Nothobranchius furzeri: one gene and its partners. The protein of the gene in region 3 interacts with the protein of the main gene of each other region in a pairwise test. Links are inferred from orthologs where the notes say so. Each region holds a gene or a part of one and is shown on either strand. Other genes may lie near its edges. The genes, in order: calcoco1a, mad1l1, cwf19l2, rint1, nab2, gfap and meox1.

The links.
Region 1: the proteins of cwf19l2 (region 3) and calcoco1a interact in binary tests that used the Homo sapiens proteins (3 or more experiments, as listed by UniProt). The two-hybrid records come from large-scale screens. The link is inferred for Nothobranchius furzeri from reciprocal best matches to the Homo sapiens genes CWF19L2 and CALCOCO1.
Region 2: the proteins of cwf19l2 (region 3) and mad1l1 interact in binary tests that used the Homo sapiens proteins (3 or more experiments, as listed by UniProt). The two-hybrid records come from large-scale screens. The link is inferred for Nothobranchius furzeri from reciprocal best matches to the Homo sapiens genes CWF19L2 and MAD1L1.
Region 4: the proteins of cwf19l2 (region 3) and rint1 interact in binary tests that used the Homo sapiens proteins (3 or more experiments, as listed by UniProt). The two-hybrid records come from large-scale screens. The link is inferred for Nothobranchius furzeri from reciprocal best matches to the Homo sapiens genes CWF19L2 and RINT1.
Region 5: the proteins of cwf19l2 (region 3) and nab2 interact in binary tests that used the Homo sapiens proteins (3 or more experiments, as listed by UniProt). The two-hybrid records come from large-scale screens. The link is inferred for Nothobranchius furzeri from reciprocal best matches to the Homo sapiens genes CWF19L2 and NAB2.
Region 6: the proteins of cwf19l2 (region 3) and gfap interact in binary tests that used the Homo sapiens proteins (3 or more experiments, as listed by UniProt). The link is inferred for Nothobranchius furzeri from reciprocal best matches to the Homo sapiens genes CWF19L2 and GFAP.
Region 7: the proteins of cwf19l2 (region 3) and meox1 interact in binary tests that used the Homo sapiens proteins (3 or more experiments, as listed by UniProt). The two-hybrid records come from large-scale screens. The link is inferred for Nothobranchius furzeri from reciprocal best matches to the Homo sapiens genes CWF19L2 and MEOX1.

Annotation. Positions count from the first base shown.
Region 1 is NC_091755.1:25,985,121-25,989,162, reverse strand, and holds the start of calcoco1a (calcium-binding and coiled-coil domain-containing protein 1), read right to left. Parts: upstream 2,801-4,042; 5' UTR 2,662-2,800; intron 613-2,661; 5' UTR 594-612; intron 556-593; 5' UTR 535-555; coding exon 403-534; intron 317-402; coding exon 214-316; intron 1-213. UniProt on the Homo sapiens protein: Functions as a coactivator for aryl hydrocarbon and nuclear receptors (NR). Recruited to promoters through its contact with the N-terminal basic helix-loop-helix-Per-Arnt-Sim (PAS) domain of transcription factors or coactivators, such as NCOA2.
Region 2 is NC_091744.1:8,623,627-8,627,126, forward strand, and holds part of mad1l1 (mitotic spindle assembly checkpoint protein MAD1), read right to left. Parts: intron 760-3,500; coding exon 619-759; intron 451-618; coding exon 394-450; intron 1-393. UniProt on the Homo sapiens protein: Component of the spindle-assembly checkpoint that prevents the onset of anaphase until all chromosomes are properly aligned at the metaphase plate.
Region 3 is NC_091753.1:35,482,046-35,484,405, forward strand, and holds part of cwf19l2 (CWF19-like protein 2), read right to left. Parts: intron 643-2,360; coding exon 430-642; intron 147-429; coding exon 30-146; intron 1-29.
Region 4 is NC_091741.1:64,270,813-64,274,312, reverse strand, and holds part of rint1 (RAD50-interacting protein 1), read left to right. Parts: intron 1-2,083; coding exon 2,084-2,249; intron 2,250-3,342; coding exon 3,343-3,453; intron 3,454-3,500. UniProt on the Homo sapiens protein: Involved in regulation of membrane traffic between the Golgi and the endoplasmic reticulum (ER); the function is proposed to depend on its association in the NRZ complex which is believed to play a role in SNARE assembly at the ER.
Region 5 is NC_091743.1:50,555,446-50,559,697, forward strand, and holds the start of nab2 (NGFI-A-binding protein 2), read right to left. Parts: upstream 2,801-4,252; 5' UTR 2,666-2,800; intron 2,501-2,665; 5' UTR 2,446-2,500; intron 2,281-2,445; 5' UTR 2,232-2,280; coding exon 1,320-2,231; intron 1,182-1,319; coding exon 1,048-1,181; intron 67-1,047; coding exon 15-66; intron 1-14. UniProt on the Homo sapiens protein: Acts as a transcriptional repressor for zinc finger transcription factors EGR1 and EGR2. Isoform 2 lacks repression ability.
Region 6 is NC_091745.1:10,096,034-10,100,120, forward strand, and holds the start of gfap (glial fibrillary acidic protein), read left to right. Parts: upstream 1-1,287; 5' UTR 1,288-1,304; coding exon 1,305-1,843; intron 1,844-3,156; coding exon 3,157-3,217; intron 3,218-3,311; coding exon 3,312-3,407; intron 3,408-3,489; coding exon 3,490-3,651; intron 3,652-4,087.
Region 7 is NC_091756.1:48,793,307-48,797,258, reverse strand, and holds the start of meox1 (homeobox protein MOX-1), read right to left. Parts: upstream 2,801-3,952; 5' UTR 2,571-2,800; coding exon 2,072-2,570; intron 1-2,071. UniProt on the Homo sapiens protein: Mesodermal transcription factor that plays a key role in somitogenesis and is specifically required for sclerotome development. Required for maintenance of the sclerotome polarity and formation of the cranio-cervical joints.

The DNA of each region.
Region 1 (4,042 bases), on a different chromosome or scaffold from region 3:
TTTGCTAAGGCTTTGTGTTATTTTAGGTTTAATAAACACTGTTAAACCTTTTCAGAACTATTTCAGTTTGTGTAGAACAGGACTATCAATGCTTTCTGAACATATGCAACACCGTTTAAAAAATACCGCGATAATACCGAAAACCGTGATAATTTTGGTCACAATAACCGTGAGGTTAAATTTTCATACCGTGACAACCCTACTGGTCATTACCTTGAAACTGCACACAGCAGTTATTATCTGTGCCCTCCTGGTAATCCGCCGGGGTCAGAGCCCAAACAAATGTCTCGTAGTCCTTCACTGACGTCCATCCCACCTGACAAACATAACATTCTTACCATGAATTTTAAATAAACCTTTTATTTATCAGATTTTTGTAACGGCTGTGAAGGATAACATTACCTTGAAGAGCCCAATCCAGTCACTGCTGGTCCAGCTGTGCTGTGAGCTTAAGGTGTAGTGGCAATCTACTCTACTCTCCGGGAAGTAAATGCAGCCCACATTTCTAAACTCCACCTGCCAAGTCTTATCCATGGCAACACACACACACACACACACACACACACACACACACACACACACACACACACACAAAGCCAGGCAAGGCTGTTCCTAAAGGAAGAAAAAGAAATATATGATCATTTATCTCAAGTTCAAGGTTGATACTGTCATGTTTGGTTTGCTGAGCTGAATGTGAACGAGGTAAAAGGTGACAGCTGGTGAGCAACACTGAGCAAGCAGGAGTCGGTGAAGACACTAGAGCTAAACCTCTCTGACAGGAAGGGCTTTGAGCAACATGGCACATTATACGTTTGTGGCAGTGGTTATGTTGGTCATGGTAAAACTCACCGCGCTTCTTCATGAGCAGTACAAAATTTCTAGGCTCTCCCGACATGTTAGAAGACTCAGATTACACAGACATGGTATGAATCCTGCAACTGCCTAACACAAAGCATTATTACTTTAGCGTTATGTCAAATTTGACCTCCAGCATAGATCAGATGTCTAGAAAATAAAATGCTTCCCAATAAAATACAAGTCAACAATAACAAGGTGCAGGTTTTATAAAGTTTTAGTTTATTATTTGTGATTTCACTTCATTAGGGAGATTATTTACTGAGAGGGCCACTCTAAACTTGCATGTGAAGGGTAAATTGTATTTACATATCTTAAAGATAATTACAGATCAGGCAGGAAAATTTACAGCAGCTTTTTGAGGAATCCTATTACACCGCAATGCTTGAGGGCTATCGCAGGCAGGTTTAACATATAATAGTTAGGCAGCAAAATATCTTTCATCATATCTATAATTAAATATTTAAAATATCCCAAATGTAGAGGCTGATCCCAAAATTAGCTTTTTAAGTGAGTTGATATTATGGGAAAATCTAATCCGATGATCCTGAAAAACTGACAGCTAGAAGGCCTAAGATTTTTTCTTTTCTTTTTGATGAAAGCAACGTTTTGAGAAATTTATGATTTCTTAATTTCTATTTCTGACCATGTCTGCGTGCTTGCCATAATTGTTATTCAGAATAATTCCAAGTATGCTTTCATGAAAAACAAGAAAACTTCTAAATGAGTGTATTTAGCAGAGCAGTCAAGCTAAGACTGCTCTTTTTTGTTTTATTTTGAAATGTTACATCAGTGCTGGTAAATGGGGTATTTTAAATAAATAATTTGGCCTTGATCACTACCCAGATAGCAAGCTTACATTGAAACCATATTGATTTTCCATCTGAATCATCAGAAGTGTTGATATTGAAATCTTGATTCAAACTAGATGTTGAATGAATGTTGCAAAACCGATGAATCCTGCATGAAACAGCATGATATTGTAATAATTTCTCTCAATTGAAATATAAGGGAAAATGCATTGATCTGTAGTTGTGTTGAAATTTCAATGTTTTAATATTTAGGTTATTTGAAATACAATTTTAAAGGCGTTGATCTATATTTAATAAATAAATAATGTTTCAATATTAAATTTAGGTGCAAAATTATGCTGACTATATGTTTTAACATTGACAATGCAATGTGGATTCTACATTGTTTCGATATACGCTTGCTATCTGGGTATAGACTGGTATTGGGCAAACCTAAACAAAAACATTTTGGGTGATCTGTTATTTCTGTGCATTAAACCTCTCAGGTCAACAAGTATTTTTTTCATAATGATTGATTTATAGATGCATTGCGGGGACTTTCTTATCTTGCCAGTAAATGTTAAAATATGTTAAAATACTCTGTTATTTAACTTTATTTTAGAATTCTTAAACTTTGCTTTACTTGGAAATAATATCTGGTAACGTAATAGGGTGAAATAGTATTTTAAAGTCTTAATATTGTGACTAGCATGGTTTGTAATCTGATTTTTGCATTGTTGACATTTTGATTTGATTTTATGTCACTACGGCCTGCCATACAAGGCCCAGCAGAAGCACATGTCGAATAAACACGGCCACGCGCGGCGATGCATGTTAAATAAGACAAAAATGTAATGTCAGTCACTGTAGGCAGACATTTAATTATTTATCACTGTCAGACCAGTTAAGGTGTTGCGGGCACGAATAATCAAACGGAACAACAATGCGGGCTTTGTCAACCACCTAAAATTATCTGCGCACATTTAGGTCGAGTCCTCTGCGAAGTGTCTCTTACCTTTAAACCCCTCTCCTTAAATACCAGGCTGCGTTTGAGATAATACAGCTGCAGTCCAAAAGAAAAAGGGAAATGAACGTGTCTGAGTCCGCAGCGATATCTTTTTCTGTCTGCTGCTCCAGTAACCTGAAACAATAACAAAAGACCCAAAGCAAAACGCAAGCTTGACAGCTTTCACCCCACAGAACTCTGGGAGTTGTGGTTCATTACGGAGCCAGAGCGGAGACGTCAGGTTACCGTGAAAACTACAATCCCCAGAAGGAAGGCAGAGAACACGAGAACCGCTTCACGTAACTTGATGCTGCGCTTGTTTTTGGCTTGGACCACCTAAATGTCCTCCAATGAGAAGCTAAGGAAGGGAAATGAAAAGGTAACTCCTGTGATAGAAACAGTTTTCTTTCGTATGTTTTTATCTGGGTCAGGACCACTCATGTGTTCCGATACAGGTTTACAATGGTTTGAATAGTGTGTTTGTGTTAATTTAAATCAAATTATGGGTGTACTTCTTTCGTAGGACAAGTTGGTCCGTTTACGATTTTTAATTAAGTTAAATGAAATGACGTTAAGCATTTTGTAAAAAAAATTGTAAAATAAATAAATAATTGGCCAATAGGAATAAATGTTGCCGTCAGATCGTCGGCTAGCAGTGCCTACACCACGCTCAGGACAGTCCAGACTCTTCTCATGCATCGTTCCACAAATGTGGAATGACCTACCAAGCGCTACCAGAACAGGGGCTTCCTTTTCAATTTTCAAGAAACTCCTGAAGACCCTGCTCTTCAGAGAGCATCTTCTTAACTAGCACCTTGCCTGCACCCGTCCCCCCTCTCTACTGTCCACTCCTTGTTCTCTCCTCTCCATGATTGATGTCAAGTTGTTGTTGTTGTTGTTGTTGTTGTTGTTGTTGCTGTTAGCCTCAAGGGCAATATGCCGATTATCACTTGTAAGTCGCTTTGGACAAAAGCGTCTGCTAAATACATAAACATAAATTTTGGATCATTGACCCCCCCCAACCACACACACACACACACACACACACACACACACACACACACACACACACACACACACACACACACACACACACACACACACACAGTGATATTAATCCATGTTTCCAGGAAAAAATGTGGGTTTTATTTAGACAAATTCTCCAAATTATCCAGTAATCTCACTTTTTGGATGTCAGTCAGTCCTCTCACCTCCCCTGTTTTTGCAACGTGGAGGGTGAAAAAAAAAGAGAAAAAACCAAGATGATGTTTTGATGCTGAACAGCAGATGGCAGTATACCATTTTTAAAAATTCTGTCCCTTGATTTCAGCTTTTCCCATTTAGATCGTTTTCTCTACATCTTTAGGGCTCATTAGATGACCCAACTGCC
Region 2 (3,500 bases), on a different chromosome or scaffold from region 3:
GTGCTGTGGGCCAGCTCCGGTCCAGGTTTCAGCTCCTCTGCCCCACTGGAAGGGTTTCAAACACTGCCAACACCTGCTGCAGTCTGTGGCGGGGTGCTGCGGGCGTTCTCCCCACCCGCTGGGAGTGTTTGAAACACCACCATCCTCTGCTGGAGACCGTGGCACGCTGCTGCGCCCTGGTTGTTTATTCTGTTATTGTTACCGGTACTTGTCTTGCAATGTGAAATGCTTGGTCTCAGAGTTTGTAAAAAAAAATAAATAAATTTCCCCCCAAAATGCGACTTATATATGTTTTTTTTCTTCTTCATTATACATTTTATGGCTGGTGCAACTTATACTCCAGAAAATACGGTATAGGACCTATAATAACCTGCATACATTCCTCTTACTTACTGTTTGTAGCTGTAGCTTGAGCACCCCCATTTCCTCCTGTGTTTTAGTTAGCTGGGCCTGAATTTAAGCAAAAATTTAAAATATAACAGATACATCAGAGGAAAGCTTGAAAAAGACCAAATACAAGGGAAACAGAGGAAGAGGATTATTTAATAACCAGCTCACACATAGATAACTAGTGTGTGTTAAAGTCAACTAAAGCTTAGCCAATAAAACCATACACACCTCCATATCCATGTTGTGGTTCTGTGTCCTTTGCAGAACCTCCTCCGCCTCTTTGAGTCGATTTGCGAGTTGAGGAGAGTATTCAGAGGGAGCAAGCTCACTGTCATAGGACTCCAGTATGGCCCTCATCCCATTTCGCTCCTGTAAAACAAGTGAAATATGGCATAATTAAATCATAAAGCATTTTTAAAATCCTTTCTGAACAAACATCTGTGCGGGACAAATTGGAGAAAGTCCAATTTAAAGCTCAGCTCTCTCAACTGTCAATAAGCATGCTTCTTCTTTCGGCTCTTGTAGAGTACAGATGCTTTTTTCCTCCTCTCCTCCCTATCTTATCCCCAGGGCTCTTTGTCTGTCTTTGGGTGTACGACGCTTCTGCATTTTTTCTGGAAACTGGAAATTATTAAAAATAGACCTGGTCAGCTGGCCTCTCAACCCGATTGACAACATTTTCTCAACGATGATAACGGGAGAAGGGGCTCCCGAATGCCCCTCTGGGACAGATCCAGTTGGGCATATCATGGACTCCTGGAAACAGTGGAACCTGATCTGCTTATCTCAACTGTCTGTAGAGGATTCTGAAGACGTATGGATATTTGTGGTGTTGGTGTCAGGTTTCCTACTTTTTGGCCTGGGAGGCTACCTGGCTTACCGGAAAATTAACGAGCTGTAAAGGAATATTGGCTCTTTCCTGGAGCTCGGGGATGATTACACCACGCTGTGAATGCACAGACTCATAATTGTCGAAAGAGTCGTAGGCTTGGAACTTTGACTGAGATTCAGGCTCTGGCAAAAAAGATGGATGCAATTAAGGAGCGAGTGGACGAATCAGCACGGATTGGGATAGATTAACTTACGCCATTATTGGATTTTGAGATGTTGAGGACCAACGGAACTTTAAGACAGAGAAGAAATTATCACTGTCTGGCCCCAAAACAAATTCTTCTCTGAATCTGGTGCCCTTGAGCCTGTGAGGCTGAAACAAATACTCCCCCTCAGAAGTAGGGATGGGTACCGAATTCGGTACTTTTTAAGGTACCGACCGAATTCCAGAGTACCGACCGAGCACCGATTCACGTCATTTCAAACGGTGCCTCGTTTCGGTACCCGTCCATCATAACGAGAACTTGCCAAGACAGCTGCGCATGCGCAAGAGCGTTTTGTCGTCGCTTGCTGTGAACCAGTTGTAAACAGAGCAGCATGGTAGAGAGAACGCAGGCTAAAGCTTGGGTCCACTTCACTAAATGTGATGGGTAACTGGATGATGAAACCAGCGACAACGATCTAAGTGAGACATCCTCATCTTAATCTGCTCCGGTACGTAAATATAATTAGCTTGATATGTTAGCTTCCATTTCGCTAATGGTGCGTTCGCTTTCTCCTCGGAACTCAGAATTTCCGACTAGAACAACATGAACGCGCTCTAAATTTTGGCTTCACTTTACTAAATGTGACGGGTGAAGACGAAACCAGTGACGATCTAAGTGTGAGGCATCGTTTTAATCTGCTCCAGCAGCTAAATAAACTGTTTAAGATATCGTTAGCTTGATATGTTAGCTTCCATTGCTACCATTGTTATCAGCTAATGGTGCGTTCGCTTTCTCCTCGGAAATTCTAACTTCCCAGTAGGAAAAATCAAATGAAAAAAGATGGCAAAAGGAATGAAGATTCACAGTAAATTTAGTTCACAGTAAAGATGTTTGCTTCAGTTTAATTATCAGCTTATAAAACTACAAGGGCAATGTTAAAATACAAACAGTTGTATGTTATTTATCGTGATATTTATGAAATATTGTTATATATTGAGAAAAATATATATTTAATTATAAAAGAGAATTAAAATAATAAACACTCAAAAGTATCGAAAATTGGTACCGTTAAGTACCGGTATCGATTTGTAGGTACCGGTAATTAGTACCGGATCGATTCAAATGTCAAAGGTACCCATCCCTACTCAGAAGAAATGTGGAATGCTGCCGTCGCCATGGCAACTCTGTCTCCCTATCCCAGGCTGGGCGGGACTGCGAGCTGTGAAGGCTGCTGAATCGTTCCAGGAGTCACTGTGCCCTCTAAACCCAATGACCACCTCCCCCTGTCCAGATGGGGGTGATGGGCGCTGCTTATTGCGGCTGCATGCACTGACGTGTGGAGAGTCCCAAACCCTACCACCCCACCTAGTGGACACTCATGCTGTGTTATGTCTGATGTCTGTTGCATTTCTGTCTGAGGTGTTTTTTGCATATCAAAGCTGCCCTCCCTGTGGAGGGTAACTCTGAAGTGCCTTTTTTCCTCCATCTGACTCAATCCTCATGTAAACCCCTCTGATCTCTATTAAGGTAGCGCGACTTGGGTTGCGAATGACCACAGTCACCAATTCTTGTCATGTGTCTGTGTATATATGTCTGATCTCAGAATTGTGTGTACTGACACTAATTTCCCTGTGGGATTAATAAAGTATCTTTGAATTTGAATTGAATTGAACTGAATCCAAAAACTTCACCTGAACTCAACAGGAATGGGATTATTGGCAACGCAATCTGAACACTCAGTCAACACAACACCTTCTTTATGCTCAACTTATTTTGCAAACACAGCTATGCAGCAACATCTAGGAAAAGAGAGGAGCTGTAATAAACTCCTCTCATCAGAGACTGAGCAAACTGTGAGACTAGAAAAATACTTTCTACACCACTAGCCTACATGCGGGAGGTAATTACTGCAGCTCCGTCTCATGTGCCATGTCGGCATCCCATTTAATCCTTTAATAGATTCATTATGCGACAGTTGGCTTTGCAGGGTTCAGAAAAATGCACGCTTTTCTCTTATTTAAGCAATTTTTCTGATTTAAAGTGTTTCATTTAATTCATCAAAACCGAATGGCA
Region 3 (2,360 bases):
AACACGCTAAGTCCTGATGCCGGACAAACCTGCATTTCTGACCAGATGTCCTCATCCAAACCAGTGGCAGAGCAGTGATGCTGCAGAGGACAGATGAGACACTGGCCTTCGGTCATGGACACGCCTGCAGGCAGGCTCAGATACACCTGGAGAACAAAACTACTTTACAAACGGTTTTAAACTATAATTCAAATTTCCAAAGCTAACATTAAGTTAATTTAGAGCTCTAATAACTAACTGTTCAACAGTCCAGGAAATTCAGAGTAAAAGAAACAAGTTAACTAGAAATCACAAACAAGTTAACTAGAAATCACAAACAAGTTAACTAGAAATCACACGTTGCTACAAACCAAAAAACTGCTGAATAGTTTGCCTCACAGATTCATTAGTTTTGTATAAATCTGCCAACATTCAACACCATCTCCTTACTTTGCTCCCTATGGCCACAATGAGATGCTTCTGAAGGTCTTTGCTGTTGAAACAGTGCTGGCACTTATCCATGGAGGCAGCCAGCCTCCTACTCTCAGCGATAGCCTTGCTCCTCATCCGCTCCTCCTCTCTCCCTTCGCCCTCCCTCTGGGCTGCACTCGACACAAACATGTCATCCAGCGTGTAGTTGTCGCCATCCATCTTTCCCATCATCTGGAGAAGTCCATCCCAGGCAGAAAGGGAGAGAAAAGGAGGAAATGGTAAGCAAAATAAAGTAATTCTACAAAAATGTATGTAAAGATAATAAAAGTGTGATATTCAAATACAATTAAATAACATAAAATATAATATAATAAAATAAAATAGAATAAAATAAAATGAAGCAGTGCCTATCCCAGTTTGTGTGTGTGTGTGTGTGTGTGTGTGCGTGTGTGTGTGTGTGTGTGTGCGTGTGTGTGTGTGTGTGTGTGTGTGTATGCTGTATCAAAGGCACCCTCTGAGTGTTCGAGCTACGAAGCAAGACGCACCGTATTCGACAATGTTACTGCTTTGGAGTCTTGTCACCATAGAAACCAGGGAACAAGTTGGAATGTGTGTACATGTGAGACTCCGGGTATTGGCGGGGGGTCTAGACATTATCGCGCAGTTACCATACAGCATTTGGCTACATTTTTTTTTTATTAAACACACACACGCATGTGCAAACACACACTCCCATGTTTGCAGACTAATTAAACATTGTATGTTCCAACTCCACCTGCCCTGATTTTTACTGCTGATGTTAATCACCGGTTTTATAGGAGTCAGCTGATGATACACGGAAATCTTCCAAAAGCATTTAAACGTAATGAGATGCTGAGCTTGTGTTTTGAGCTGAAGTCATGCTCGTCTACTTCCAGTCCGTGGGTAATTCATAATTAATGCAGAAATTAAGCACTTTCCATGTTTTGAAAATACGTTATTGAAATTCAAGTATTTTCAAGGACTTCAAGAACCCGTACAAACCCTGGGACACAAATGCTGCCTTGCTTCTGTTGATGTTTAAAAGCCACAAGAGAACACAGAAAGCAACACATTGGAGGGGAAAAATGTACTTCCTAAGTGTTTAATCTGACATCAAGCTAATGACTTCTATGTTTTCTTCTCCTCTGAGCTCCAATCAGAAACACTCCTTCACAGTGTGTACTGGGGAACAGCCATTACATCACAAAGGAGAGGGGGGTGTTCTTAAACTAAAGACACAACAGCAAAAAGAACTGAGTTAAGAAATCAAGTCAGAGTATAGATGTCATTAAGGATAGAAAATCAACAACAGGTCTCAGACTAACGTTAAAAAAAAACGAGTGGAAGAATGAACACACAACAGAGCCACAAACATAATCTTATTACAACATTCTTCTAGGAAAGACAGTATTCTCATGTTCACCTCAACATTGTTGAAAACCAGGCTCACAGTAGCCATGGTAACGGTACCTCCCTTCAGCAGAAAAAACAGGACAACCCAGACCCCTAGAATAACCTTGAGTCAAACAGTGGTCAAGCACATGCAGTAGCTGAAGATTTCGATCTGCAGTTCGGTCTAGCCACGCTCCATTGTAGCCTCAGCAGGTCTACCGCTGGCCTATAGGGCTGGGCGATATGGCCTAAAATCAATATCACAATGTAAGATTTCACCTTAATAACGATAAATGGACGATAACTACATGCACAGAAACAAAAGTTGTCCACTAGATGGGGCTGTCACATGTATTAGGTTGTCACATGTTTAGGGCTGCAACAACGAATCGATAAATTCGATGAAAATCGATTACTAAAAGCGTTGGCAACGAATTGCGTCATCGAGTCGTTGTGTTGCACAACTCTTCCAAAAGCCCCCTCCCCTCCCGCCCGCCGTTGCGCGCAGACCGCAGAGCCGGCAGGTGTTTGGAAGA
Region 4 (3,500 bases), on a different chromosome or scaffold from region 3:
GACCAGAACCCCGGGGCTGACTAAGAAAAGAATAACCACTCGGGCAGAGTTCAATCAGACCAGAATAATCAGATGTTTGCTGCCAAACTTCAGTCAGAAACATAAAATCCAGGTTTTTAGAGAGAATTAGATCATTGAGCAGGAAGGACTTATTGTTAACAGAGCAGGTATTTAATAGATTCATGCTGAGTGAGGTGGAGGAATCAGAAACTACAGAAACAGCTGGAGTTAGTGGACATAAATTACTGGGGTTAGATCCACGGTGTTTATAAAAACCACTTGTAGAGGGAACAGGAGGAGAAACCACTGAGGAATGAGGATAAACCGACCTTAAAAAACTTGGACGGATGAACCACGTCGCAACACGGCCTGGCGGGAATGCAGAAGTGGCGCACAGGTCACCAAACAAAGGACAAGAAGCTAGAAGATCACGCCGATGTTTACTAGATAAACAATGCTTTAAAGAAGTCTTATTCTCACCTGGATTCCTGCCCGTTTACCTCTTTTCCTCCGACGTTTTCCCGGGACTGGATAAACATAGCCGGAGGCGCGCAGCTCAGGACCGTCGTTTGGCTCCGGGCCAGTGCGTCACTCAGATAAACGAACAGGGAGGTACGTCCTTGATGCATCTTGGGCGATCGTGAACGAACGGAAGGACAAAAGAGTCTGGCGATCATAGGAGATGGTAGCAGGGACACTACTGAAGAGAATCGCAGACCGGAGCAAGGTGGAAAAGAGGAGGTTAGTGAAGAAAAGTTTGAAAAAGTGGCCGGTGACTGCGGCTAAGCCAAGCATAGGCGCCATCTTGTTGCCGACCAGAAGCGGAAGCGGAAATGTATCAATAATGGCAGCTCCGATGGTTTTCCTGTGACCTTTAGCTTTATGCTATCACATTAGGTTTTCAGTGGATACAGACCTGAATTAGACCTAGACTTGACCTCATACCCAGATCCTGGATCAGCCTGCTCCTGATCTTAAAGGGATACTTGTAAAATTTCCAAATTTTTAAATAATGTTCTTGAGTCAATATGTGCTAAAATGACCCTTTACAGGGTTAATGAAAGGTCACTCAGCCCCTATTGACCCCTGTGGCCAGAATATTCCACTTGCAACTTCAGACTGTCTGGCCGCTCAGTTGGGACTGACATATTGAGCTGACACAGCTGGTGCTGTAGTCTGCTTCCAGCACATTTCCTGCATGTTTTAGATCATGAACACATCTGATTTGTTTTAATTAGTGACAAATCACTCCTGCAGACACTAATTAAGGCTGGGAGACATTTCAGCTGTTAGATTAAGGCGTTAAAAAGATGAACGCACAACGAGGAGATAAACTTAGTTTTTGGTTCTACACACGAACCCTAGGGGGTGCTAAAAGGCAAGCCAAAACTGCATAGTTCCCCTTTAAAGAGACTATGTGTAGTTTTTACCATTCATTTCTGGAAATATCTATCAAAATGTTGTTGAAAATGAATTAAATTATACCCATTTGTTGAAAAATATTAGCAGCTTTGAAACATATAATTGTAAAAATCAGGTCTAAAATACATGGAAGCGGGTAATAATACACCTGAGCAATGCATTAGATGCCATGTTTCCTTCTACGGGAGCCCATGAGGACAAAATGCATTTACTGATTTGTAACGAACGGTTAAACCGTGGTCATTCTTAAATGTTGTTTTACACAGTTACCTCCACTTCTTGCCAGTGATGAAAGGGAGTCTGATGTGGTTGTTATTTAGCTAAATTATGCACTCCCCAGGGCTTTTTGACCCTAATGGGCATACATTGGTAAGGTCTTACTCCAACACAAAAATACAGCTTGCTTGCAACAATTTAGTTATTTACTGCCCCTATCGCCAGGGAAAATACACACTGTCATTTTAAGTTCTGACACATTCATTATTGGCCTTCTGAATATGTCCTCATCAGTACTGCAGCTTACGACAGTAGACATTTCGACTTGAACCAATATGACAAGCTCTTCTTGACACATGTGTCTTTCCTACGCTGAAGTTTTCCTTCCTTACTGTGGAACTGGTCCGTCAGCTTCCACTGCTTGTTTCCTTAACCTCCATGATAGAGATGACCTCATATCTCAGAGAGCCTCAGCTTCTGGTCAAGGTCAGCCTTCACCTCCACTTCAAGCTCCTCCCCTTTGTCTGCCCATTCAAATCATGCTTCAGCCGCTCAAGAAGAGGTTCCGATACCATTTCTGTGGAAATCGACAGACTAACTCCCTAAGCAAGGTTTGGCTCATACAACACTGGTCCGTACAGGATGGTTCTGGAGCTCTTCCTGTTTGTTTGGCCTAAACAGGTGGACAGAAACCTTATCAAAGTGTGCTGAAGCAGCATTTTGTTCACAGCAAAACCTGATGATGAGACCGTTAAATGTGTGTTTTGACAACAGGTATAATAATATCAGCAAATTTATTATCCGTGTGTTTTATTCTTTATGTCCTGTTGTCAAAAAGATACAATTATATTTTGCTTAATGTTTTGTTTTAAATTACTTTACTATTTAGTGTTTTTGCTTAAATTTGATCATATGTCTGTCAACAGTAGAGTTAACACACCCCTGCAGGTGTTAACTCTAAACTTGTCAGGGTGTTTTCTGCTCGCAGTATTAAAATTAATCTGTTAGTTTAAAAAAAAAGAAAAGAAATAAAATCATTAAAATGCTTGTAGCAATTAACATAAATATGCTGTATTAAATTAATCAATCAATCAGTCAATACTTTATTAATCCCAGAGGGATATTAGAGCTGGTAGTAACACCCACATTTGTTTACTTTTGAATATTTTGCCTTATAAGTTAGGCTTGAATGTATTTAATTGTATAGTAATTGTATTTAACTGTGAGACTAAATAATTTCCAGTAATTTCAGTTCCATGGTAGATAAATTAATAAGGATCAGTCTCACAGACTTGCTTTGGTTGAGACCCATTTGCTCCACCGAGCTACAGAGGTGATTGTCTGTGGGATGGAGGTGTGGAATTGTTGTTTTTCAGCAGCATTCTCCTGCTCTGATTTAGTCCCTTGTTTCTAATGATGACTGGTGTCATTTCCACCTTTCTCCTAATCAGAATGATATAATCATGTCAGTTCTTGGGTTATAAAATCAGTTTGAAACCTGAAAATTTACCACTTACATAAATTCCATTATTCCTCTCACCTCAACCTGGTGCCAGTAAACACGAGCCTAACCTCTTTTCAGCAACACATATCTATTAAACGCATGATCAGAAATATCACCATTAGCATAAAAACTAGCTACAGTAATGAAAAATGTGCTGCTTCCAAAGCTTCATGAATCAATCTAAATGTCCTTTTTCACAGCCAGAGTGGTACCTAACGCAAGTTCTGATATGGATGAGAAACAGCTCACCCTTCTTGATGGAAAAGATTCAGCCTGCCTTGGACCAGGCTGGTGTGGCCATCAGTGCACAGGTTTGTTGTTTTAGTGTGTTGTCGTCATACCTGAGTCAGTTCACCAC
Region 5 (4,252 bases), on a different chromosome or scaffold from region 3:
CTGTAAATGCTTACCTCATGTCTTGGTCTCTTATTACACAAACTGCTGTTCTCATCCGCATTCGGCCTGCAGAAGATAATAAAAAAATAAAAACTTTTAATTGCAATAAGAATTCTGCCAAAATTCCCAAAAATGTATGAACTACCGTTCCATTTTTGAATTTTAATGTAAACAATGAGATGTATGATGGAGTGTTATAGCCACTTACTGGTAAAAAAAAAATTACCTGGAATTTTACATGTAAAAATACTGTTTCTAGCTCATTAAACTGAAGTTTGATGATTCAGTGTCTCCTCAACTAGATTTATTGATTCAAAATTTAATTGCAACAAAATAATGTTTGTGTTTTTATAACTTTATTCTCTAACTTTTCTGATTAGATTTTAATAATTTGACCAAAAAATTATAATAATAATCCCAATAATCTGAACAGCAAACAATAGTGCTTAGGCCATGTCTGGGATTTTAAACTAAAGAACGTCAACTTTTGGAATCAAAATATGGTTAAAAATAAATAAATAGGTCAATGGCCTGTATCTGATAAAGCGCTTTATACGGTCCTGGAACCCCCCAAGGCACTTTACAACACAAACAGTCATGTATCCATTCACACACATTCACACTCTGGTGGTAATGAGCTACATTGTAGCCACAGCTGCCCTGGGGCACACTGACAGAGGTGAGTCTGTCGTACACAGGCGCCACCGGTCCCTCCGAACACCACCAGCAGGCACGGTGGGTTAAGTGTCTTGCCCAAAGACACAGCGACAGAGCGGGGCTCGAACCTGCAACCTTCCAATTATGGAGCCAGCACTTAACTCCTGTGCCACCGTTGCCCCATGCTTGCCCCAAAATTCTAGAATTGAATTGAGGTGTACTCTTTTTTTACCTGATTAACTTTTTATATAAAACCTGAGCTGTAACAGAAGAAATCTGAATAAAACAACTGAAAACGTCTAACTAACACTTTGCTTCGATCTGAAACTCGTGTGAAGCAGGTGTGTTTGTGTGGGTCAAATCCTCATCGCTCACCCCTACCTCACTCACCTTGTGCTCTTCAGTGTGGAGGTGTAGGCACATTTCCTGGCCACCTGTCGAGCCAGAGAAAACAGCTCCACCCGTCTGAGGAGAAGAGCGTTGTCGCGCATGCAGAACTGAGCTGCAGCTTCGTTGATGATCAGCTGGGGAGGAGGAGACACCGAATGAAGGAGTGATGGAGGCTTTAAATCAACATTTAAGGTCACAAGGTGAAGATAAAATCTGGTTTGTTGTCACTTTAGCGATCCGTGAGCTCGGGTGATGTGCTTGTTAGGTTTTACCTCGTGGTGTGAGAGCTGCTTGCCTTCTCTCCGTTTGGAGTCAAAGCGCCCGTAAATCAGACTGTATTTCCGGATCTCTTCTTCCTTGTTTGCATCCTGGGAACCCATTCTGAAGATGTGCCCCACAGTTTTTGCCATCTTCTTGTTCATCCTCAGCAGGGTTTTCACCTCTGTGAGATCAGACCGGGGCAGGGTCCTAAACAGCTGCTCCACGCTCTCCACCACGGCCCTCGCCGTCTCCCCGTCCAGCTGTCCTCCAGGCCAGGCTGACAGAGCCGAAGGGGCGAATGATGCAGATGGGACAGGAGATGTTGAAGGACCAGGAGGACATGTGGACAGTAGTGGCGGGCTGGGCGCCTCCTCCTCTGTTCCAGGTGCAGAAGCTACATTGCTATTACCATCAGGCTCTGGGCTGAGCCAGTGGGGGTCCATGGGGGACAGTTTTTCCCTGTAGTGTGTTTCTGGCGGTTGAGGAGAGGCCTGGGAGCAGGGGCTCCTTGGACTCCCACTGTACATTGGGGTGAGGCACGCCCGATCCTCCCTCTCACAGGGCGACCCAGGCTGCCCATTACTCACAGGCTTTCTGGGCCCGCCAGCTGACCCACTAGTGCCCGTCCCATCAACTTTGAACAGAGGGATCCCCCCGAGAGGAACGTTGGCGACAGGCTGGCTGAAAAGGGCAGGGTTCGCCGCCCAGTCTCGGAGAGCCTTCTGCAGCCTACGCACGTGCAGCGGCTTGGTGGCCATGCCAACTAGTGCCATGATTTCCAGAAACTCCTCCTCTGCAGCCTCACAGAGTTGTTGCACATCGTCACCGCCCTGCTGGATGAAGGTTTCGTAATAGGCCAGCAGGTTGGCCCGCTGCAGCACCCTGTAGAGTTGCAACTCCCCAAGTGTGCGTGGCAGAGACATGGCACACGGCACTGGAAAAGTTCAGGCAGGAGAAAGGAAACACATGAACCTGCAAAGTGGAAAAGTCCAGAGATGTTAAATATCCAGACAGCTCATTTTCAAATGCATCTATCAGGCTGAAGCACAAAAACTTTTGCATGATTCTAGGATTAAAAACATGATATTTTTCATGCAAAACACAAACGTGCACCAAGTACTCTTGAATCTTTCTTACCTTTTTCAGATGAGTTGAAACTTAAAGCAGTCTGGTCTTATTCCCTGGAATAAAACTGTGAAAGAAGCCAAATATTTTCCCTTATGGTTCTGATGTGAAGCAGTGAGCTGCTTGGGTGACTGGCTCCAGTCAGACTGAGCCAATCCTGAGCCAGATGTCAGAGAGGACTCCCTGCTCAGCGACACGTCGTCCTTCTCTACATCCGATTCGTTCCTCTTACCTCTTCACCGACAGCCTCCACGCCGCAGATCGCCGTAGTAAATCCCCTTAGCGCGTCGCTGCTTGGTCCGATATCACTGGCAGAAATCCTCCTCCGGCGCACCGTATTGGTTGCTGGCTCTGGCTGCCTTTTTGCTGTCTGTGTGGGCTGGAGAATGACGGGGGCGGGCTGCAGCACGCCATCTGACCGAAAAAGAGCCTTCCTCTCCCGGTAGAGAGGCGGCTTTCAAATAGGGGATGTGGGCGGCGGTGGTGGGGGCTTGAAATTAACCCTGTGCGTCTTCACGGCTCCTGACGCACACGCTGTGGGGGATTCCCAGTTTCACCACCACAAAGACCCCCAGACCTGAAGTCACCATTAGGTTAAAAACGATCAACTAATGTGGGTTTGCATGTAGGAGCCCACACGTGAACACGGGTTTTTGCTTGAACCTGTTTCTGTTCTCCAAGACAAAGAAAGTCTAAGAAAAAACGTCAGAAAAAGGTTAACGCGACTGTTGAATCAGATATATATTATATTATATAGTTAGAACCGAAAACATGTCAGATTTGAATCATGTTCTGAACGATTTCGTGGCACCAGCATCATCATCAACAGCAAGGCAGGAAAAATGAATCAATGATAAATGTGAACAGTGGCGGTCCCAAAGGTTGGTCAAGTGGGTGGGGGAGGGCACCCTTGCTTAATCACATTCATGTTCACCTAAACCCTTACATTCATCTTCTTTAAGCCAAATAATACATTAACTTTAATAAACCCTTTCTGTAATAACTAATTATATATATATATATATATATATATATATATATATATATATATATATATATATATATATATATATATATATATATATATATATATTAGGGCCGGGACTCGATTAAAACATTTAATCTAATTAATTAGAGGCTTTGTAATTAATTAATCTAAATTAATCACATTTTAATCGTTCAAAAAAATGTGCCCTCAAAGCAAAACTTGTAATTAAAATTATGAGACAGAGAATCAAACATTAGACATGGTTATTACTGTAAACTAAAGCTCTTAATTTAAAAAATGCCTTTTAATTATTCAAATGTCACTGTGTGATATGAAACAAGACCCAAATCAACTAAAATCAGAGTAGTGAGGACATGGACCATTTTCCCAGCTGCAGCCAGGTGCCTCTCATTTGTTTGACTACTTTCATTAACTACTGTTAGGGCAAAGAATTATTCTGTCTGGTGCTTTCAGCCCTGTACAGATATTACGTAAATGTTAAAAATATAGCTTACCGCAACATTTTTAAAGTTTCCGGTGCCACCGGGCAGCCGCAGCAGAGACGATCTCTGAAAAATGTCTGCGACATGGACTCCGTTGCTGTCTGGAAGTTTACTTTTTCTAAGTAAAGAAAAGAGGAGGACGTGTTTCCTAAATCCTGCATCAGTCCAATCAAGGCAACTTCTGTCTGTTTTTATCCCTTTTTAGTAGCCATTGTTGTGTGCGTCAGTGATATTCGGTCTACAAGGAAATTGTGCAATGACAAAGGTTCCGCCTTGCTCGAAATGCAAGCTGTGATTAAATGCGTTAATTTTTTTAACGCGTCATTTT
Region 6 (4,087 bases), on a different chromosome or scaffold from region 3:
AGAGAAGATTTGCTGAAGTGCTCTGATGTAGCCGGCCCAGCGGTTGTCAAGGTAATGAGTCAAAAGGGTTTTGTAATGCAGCCTCCGTTTGTCATTCTGAAGTTCAGATTAGGTTTGCACTCACCGAACCCCCCCCCCCCCCGTCCTTCTTGTATTCATCGTCGTGCTCCTCTTCATCTACTCCGTCTATCTGTCTCTCCAAGCAGCCGGATGTCAAATAACCTGAAACTAGTTCACAATCATCAGAATCAAAATCTTGTAACTCCTTTTCTTCTTCTACAGCGGTTTGCATCCTCCACGATGATGACAGGATGAATGCTATCATTACCCACAAATGCTGAAAGGATGAATTCATGTATTACTCTACTGTGAAATGAGAAGGTAGCTTTATATAACTGATGATTATTTATCAGACCAGTGATTAAATCCTTTCTGAGAAATGTTAGCTCTGGTCCATGAACTATTTGATTGGCTTCTGCGTGGATCCATAACCAGTTCGAATTAAATCTTTATTTAATTTGTTACCAACAGCCTCGCAAACACTGAAAGCTTGAGCCACAGATGATCAGCAGGGTCTCTCATGTCAGACCTTTGCTGATTTGTCTTCCTGTTTATCTTTAAATAAAACTTTCAGAATGTGTTCATTTATTGTCTCCTCCTATACTTCCTTCATTTTAAGCATTGCAGATATGGATGCAGGACGGAAAACCTGTAACTCTAAAAATGAATCCAATGTTTTAAATTATTCTCGAGTTTATTAGCAGTTATGTCGTTACGTAACTAGATCCCAACAGGAATCGGGAGGAATGTTGATAGTTCAGTCCTACATCTTGTTTATTTAGAGCTCAAAGCATGCTGTGAGCATGTGATTTTATCTTCTGTCTTTATTGCCGACCTCCCCAACATGCTCTTCTGTTTGGACCGGTCCTCCTGCCGCGGCTGCGAGAGTGTGTGTGGTCAGGTTGAATTTGTGGCCAGACTCTGTTGCACAAAATTCCTTTTCATTCGCTTGGAACAGAAAGAAAGAGGGCGAACAAAAACGGGGCGAACGTAAGCGTGAAAGAGTGAGCCCAAGGGGAGAAAAGGGGGAGACGAGAGGGTAAAAAAAAAAATCCAGGAGACATTTGTAGTTGAGTGGAGGAGCACAGACAATCCCTGGCGCATGTAAACCTCCCCTTTGCCATCTCTTTTTGTTCCATTCACTGCCTGCCACCCTCCTCTCTCACTGCCCCAGCCTGTGGCCTCTCTGCTGGACTTGGGGTGGGGGGGTTTCTCCCTATATAAAAGCCCTGTTTGTCCCCTGAATGAGCTTATTCCCTATCATGGACAGCCTTAGAGCACAGTCCTCATACAGGAGACGTTTTGGGCCGCAGAGCTCAAGCAGCTCAGGAGGTAAAATAGGTGGACTATCTTCCCACCGCCTCTCCTGGCATGGCGCCCCTCGAAGCATCACCCACTCCAGCCCCGTCTCCCGGGTCTCCCTGGGCTCCTCCAGCACGGCCTTGCTGCTGGGCAGCCCCGTTGACCGGCTGGACTTCTCAGCTGACTCCTTGTTGAAGGCCCAGTACAAAGAAACTCGTACCAACGAGAAGATGGAGATGATGGGCCTGAACGACCGCTTTGCCAGCTACATAGAGAAGGTGCGGCTTTTGGAGCAGCAGAACAAAGTTCTGGTGGCAGAACTGAACCAGCTGAAGGGGAAGGAGCCTAGCCGCCTGGGGGACATCTACCAGATGGAGCTGAGAGATCTACGACGGCAGGTGGACGATCTCACCAATGGCAAGGCTCGTCTGGAGATAGAGAGGGACAACCTGTCTGCAGACCTGGGCACGCTCAAGCAGAGGTAGGAGAGAACGGTCCCAAAGTAGACCTGGGCCTTTGTGTGTCTTGTGTGCTCGCTGTCCTATTGATGCTTCACAGAAATAATGATGGGATTAAAACTTTTCCCCTAGTCTTTTCTTCCCATCAGCTTATAAATCCAGGAGAAAACCGGAACAGCCCCCAAAAAAGTCTCAGTGCTTCAAACTACATAAAGAGGAGTAATTTGACCTTGTGAAGAATGTTTTTGTTAATTCCTGTAAATACACCTGTCATGTCTGTATTTACGTAGCGCTTCTGTTTACATGTGTTTGTGGTTGGTTGGAATGCAGAGCGCTGTGGTCTGCCTGGGCTTTACTCCTCTATCCCTCTTTACAAACGTGATCCTGACTGAACCCTCGCTGCCATTCAGTCAGTGTGGAGGAATGAAGCAGCACAATGGTGGCGCTCCACAAAGGGAACAGAATGCCAGGCAGATGTAGCTTTCCTCTCTTTCTCCAAAGCACAAAGTCACCACCGCTGGTTATCCGGCTCCTTTTCTCCACATCCACCATCACGCCTCATGTCAGCTTTTTCATTTTGAGACAGGCCAATAGAAAGTCTCAGGGTGGAAACTGGAGGGTTTTTTTTTTTTTTGCCCTCTGACCAAGCAGCTGCTGGTCCTGTGAGAGATTGCAGGATGAATAGGGATGCTGCTGCTTCAGGGGTTAAAGGTCACCTTTTTTAAAATTCGTGCTGCTCTTTCTGTTAGCAACCTCTGCATGAAGCTGCATGATGTCACTCTACGTTTCATTTGCTTCTAGTGGGTAGGATCAGTCTGTGTGCTGCGCTGACACGGATTCTCTCTCTCTCTGTGTGTGTGTGTGTGTGTGTGTGTGTGTGTGTGTGTGTGTGTGTGTGTGTGTGTTCCATCCCGTGGGAAAGGTCTCCTCCGGCTGTTAGATTAGACTGGAAGTGTAATGATGCGTAAGCCGCTGCTCTTTCAGCTGAGTCCTGCCACTCCTCTGCAGCTCAGTAGAAGACAAAACAAAAATCTGAACACATTTTTAAAATACGTTTAATTTTTCTTAATTAAACTTTAGCTAACTAAACTTTGCGCAGGAGTTTGTTTTTTCTGACCCAAGGACCCCAGACATTGTGCTCTCATTTGTGATATATATATATATATATATATATATATATATATATATATATATATATATATATATATATATATATATATATATATATATATATACATATATACATATCAAATGTTTCAGAAATATTTTAGTGTAATTTAATTCCTCCTGGCTGGGAACTCTCAGTAAGAAGCTCTTCACATTTTTCTTGACTCAGGCTGCAGGATGAAATGGGCCTCCGACAGGAAGCAGAGAACAGCTTGAACGCCTTCAGACAGGTGGAAATATTAGTAATATTAAAAAATCTTTAAAATATTGACAATCTCAATGTTGTTTGCTGTCATCCTGCGATGTTTCTCATTATTCACACAGGATGTGGATGAAGCAGCGCTCAGTCGGGTCCAGTTGGAGAGAAAGATCGAGGCCCTGCAGGATGAAATTAATTTCCTGAAGAAAATTCATGAAGAAGTATGAAGAAACGCTGAAGTTGGTCCAAAACAACTAGACAGATTTTAGCAAAATCACGACTTTTGCCACGTTTTTCTTCCAGGAGCTGCGTGAGCTGCAGGAGCAGATCATGGCCCAACAGGTCCACGTTGACGTGGATGTGTCAAAACCAGATTTAACTGCTGCTCTGAGAGACATCAGAGTTCAGTACGAGAATATGGCCACTTCAAACCTGCAGGAGACAGAGGACTGGTACCGATCCAAGGTCAAATATTTTACTTTTAAAGGAGGGATTTACTCATTTATTCAATACTTGTGCAGTGTTCTTTAGTGTAATTCAATGCCTTATGAGCCATAAAAAAAAATAAAGCTATGATGCTCCTGTTATGAGATGCAGATGTTTTCTGGTGCAGAGATGGACTGAAAACAGTAGAATTACTCATTACTATTATTGAATTGCACACGTCTTGCTTCTGATTGGCTAACAGAACATGTTCAGCCATGTCACTGTCACCAAAACACCCTCCGCTCGCTCTCCCTGCTGCAAAAAAAACAAGCCTTCCTGTGGACGGGCGCTTGCCAAGATGGGCGAGACCATGAATGCAAATTCATAGTGTGACATAGATGTGTGAGGATTTTAAAATCCTAGAGTTTCACCATCTATTTTCTATCAGAAGGTAATGCAGGAGATAGGTGTAGGA
Region 7 (3,952 bases), on a different chromosome or scaffold from region 3:
GGTTTATTTAGTTTATATTTGACTAATTTTTCTCAACTACTTAACTCTCCTACTGATTTTCTATTTTATTTATTTTTTGATGTGTGTGAAGGAGAACCCTCACGAAAACGAGAAGTTTCATCTCACAGGGTTTGTCCTTCTAAAGTGTATGTAAACGAATAATTACAAAAATGTTTTGTTGCTTATTATTAGAGGAAAATGCAAATGTTCTAAAGGGCAACAACATCTGAACTACAGAAATCTCCTGAGGTGATTTAAATAAAGGAAAATCTGGAGAACTTGACATTTTGAATGAGCAAGCACTCGGCGACAGTAGGAAGAAAAGAGTTCATGCAACGTTAATACATGCTTTCATTTTTTTAAACCCAGAAATCTCACTAAACAAGATTCATTGATGAAATTTATATTTGATGCCAAATCATATGCTCCATGGCATGCATTAAAATACATTGTTGAAAATCGATGATAATGCAAACTGTGCTCAGTCCAAACACTGAGATAATGAGTAAACAAAGCTGCAGGCTGGATTTGATCTCAGGTAAACACAATCTAATGCAACTGTCAGACTGAAGTCATCATCAGATTATATGATTTTGTCAGCGTCAGCCTGACGTTCCATATCAGCACATGCAGACTGTACACCCGGAATGCCTTCAGGGCCTTTTCCTAATATATGCTCTTTTACCAGCTTGTCAATTTGAGGGCGGACTGCTCCGTTTTCTAAAATTGAGAGCTGATGTAGTGGTCGGACATGTTGCATGCACTCAGTGGGAGATTGTGTTACGGCTTAACGACAGGAAAATGTCAATGGATAAGAATGTGAGGAGTGGGCTTGAAGGAAAGTGAGTTTACCAGACGTGGTCTGGCAGGTTTTCAGGGCAGAGAGTAGAGGTTACAATAAGGTAAGAGGAGGTGGGGGTAAAGGTGTGTGTGTGTGTGTGTGTGTGTGTGTGTGTGTGTGTGTGTGTGTGTGTGTGTGTGTGTGTGTGTGTGTGTGTGTGTCTGTTGCACGAACTGGTCATTTTGATTTAAGTTTGGTCATCTCAACAAGTTTAAAATAAATATCCATTTCCCCTTATTTCCAACTCTGCGTTACATAAAAGGACTCTAATCACTGATTGTTTTCACATCTTTAAATACGTTTACGCCCAGCAAATCTTCTTGTATTAATATTAATTCTGGTCTACAGATGCTCGTCGGTCCTGCACATAAGTCAAAAAAGAAAATTTACTCAACAAATTAATTATTCAGGATCAATTACATTAAAAATATACTAAGTGTTTCAGATAATTAGAGCTTTTCCCACATTTAGTTTTATCAAGAACATCCGTTTCCTCTCATTAGCAGGAGTTTACATCAGAGGGTTAGATTATTCTGAACTTCTGCTTCTTTCATTGAGAAATACGTCAACATAATTCACAAGAATATATCTAAGGATGAACCGAGCCTTGATTTGGTGGATAGTGGTTTAACTGAAAGCTGCTGAATATGACAGCTTTAAACAGATTTGCTGTAATAACTATAGTTAGAATCACCTGTGAGCCACACAAATGTGAAACAATACTTGATTTCCAACAGACACAGAGACACAATGAAACACCCAAAGCCTCATGGATTATTTCTAATGCTTTTTAACAATAAGAGGATGCGACTGGAGCTTAAAGAGCAGCTAGAACACAACACTCTGGTCACCTACTCACCTCTCACACAGACAAATGCTGTTAAGACCAGTTTAGCGAGGAAACAACAGGGCTGTGCATCCTGCCAGCTGTAGTTCTTGAGCCAAATGCACAATTTTAAAGCTCTAAAGGTTTTGTGGGGTTATATTTTTTCACCTATTCACATTTGTTTAAAAACTATTATAATTTTTTATTAAATAAGAAAAGTTTGATAGTTTTATAACATTATTTCACTGTTGCTTTCCAATATTTGTATTCATATGATTATCACTGCAGCAGAAAAGACTTTTTCCATTTTAATTTCCTATATTTCCATTTGTTTAAAATGCTCATGTTTTCTCTTAAACCCCTCACTGAGAGTGCTTAAATGCTGTCCGTCTATCTGGACTCACCTGTGATATCTCTTTTCCTCTTATTGGAGCTTTTCTTGTCTGAGTCAACTGACGCCACACTCTGCGGTGAGTATTCTCCATCCAGACATCCTGGAACACTTCCTGGCACTCGTTCGGTCCCTACACCTTCCAGGTCAGGACCTCCGTCCTCTCCAGAACCTCCTACAGCGGGGGCGATGGGTGGACAGGCCTCGGGCGCTCTCACCCGAGTCTCGCAGGGGCTGAACTGCCAGTCGGCTCTCTGGAATCCCCCCTGGCTGTCCTGGTAGAGTCTATCATCTCGAGGATAGGCAGCGTGTGGCACACTTGGCACCAGGCAGGAGCTGGTGAAGTCCGTGTAGGCCAGGAACTCGGGCTTCTGGTGGAGGGAGAACGGGGCCTGCTGGTAGGGTGACTGCAGATTGGCCCCTGGGACCCCAGAGTGAGGGTTCCTCATGCAACCCCAGATGGGGCTGCTGGGATGGGCGCTCCGCATGCAGCTGCTGGCTGGCTGATCCATGGTGATGCCAAAACACTTTACAGTCTTTTTACAAAAAATTTCCTTCTTGAAGAGTTCAGAGCCTCCTCACAAAGTAAGGACTGGAATGTGTATCTTTATCACTTTGAGAGAAATTTCCACTTGAGTTGATTACAGATGAATCATCGATGGTCTCATCGCATCAGGAATACTCACTTCTGTGGAGCTGGTCACTCTTCCACAGCTCAGAACGTGTGAGGATGGACGCCTTCCTGTGACAGTGTTTCCTTCTCGCTGTGGGAGTGTAAGTGACGTCCTCTGATCAAAACACACACTTTCCCTTCGTGTCTCTCTCTCTCACACACACACACTCCTCTCCCTCACAAATCTAACCGGCTTGTGGCTCAGTGTGAGAGCTGCATCTGCAACTCCCTTTCTCTGCTGGCTGTTTTCACAACTCTTCTAAGGCATTCTTGACAAGCGAGCCCTCCTCCTTTTTAAACATATAGGTGGGAAATGGTGGCGAGTTTATGGAGTGTAACGTGAGACAGCAGAGGAGGAGCTGCTCATGAGTCCACATGTTGGTAGTACCCTCCAACCAACCCGTCCTCATCAACTATTAATCACGGGGGAAATTTTATATGCACATCTAATGGGCTTTCCAGACGCAGGGCTTTTTAAAGGGACATTGTCTGAAAAGTATAAAGCAAGCACCCACCCACTCCAACCTGCAGTAGTTGCTGGTCCCAGCCAGGGACCTTTTTTCAACTCCTCAGTACTTTCTGACACCCAATTTAGTTCTTTATTTGACACCCTTTAAAGGAACCCTGCAACCTTAATCCTTGCCTGTCCTCTCACACTTAAGAAATCGTTTTGTGTGTTTTTATGTGTGGGTGAACACACTACTGCCTCACACCACACAGTCCACCTGGCTGGACTTTCTACGGCTCTGAGGTGAAAGGACAACTGGAAACGATACTGGTTATGCAAGAGCTCGCACCTCTTGAGGTTCTTTGGTGAAACTCTGTATGGAATTTCAGAGCCATATTTCACAAAAGCAGGTTATTATTTTCTCCAAGCAAATGCTGTGACAGGAAGATTGCACCTTTTCATATATCAATATCTTGTATTTTGCTGGAAGTATTTTCTCTTGTCTGAGATTATTAATAATAAAGTATATTTATTTTTTAATCTCAGCTCTTCCCTATGTCTAAAACCCATTCTGTTAACCAAACTTTGGACACTCACTTACCCACTGAACCACACTATACCGACGAGCAGTTTTTCTTCTTGCTGCTCATATTCATGAGCTGACGTTTGTCCTAGTCTGTTTTTACTTTAATGCTGACCTCCTAAGGAAGAGAGGTGGTTCGTTGGACAGACTTAAAGGTGTGGTTCACTGCAAAAACATATTTTAATGATTA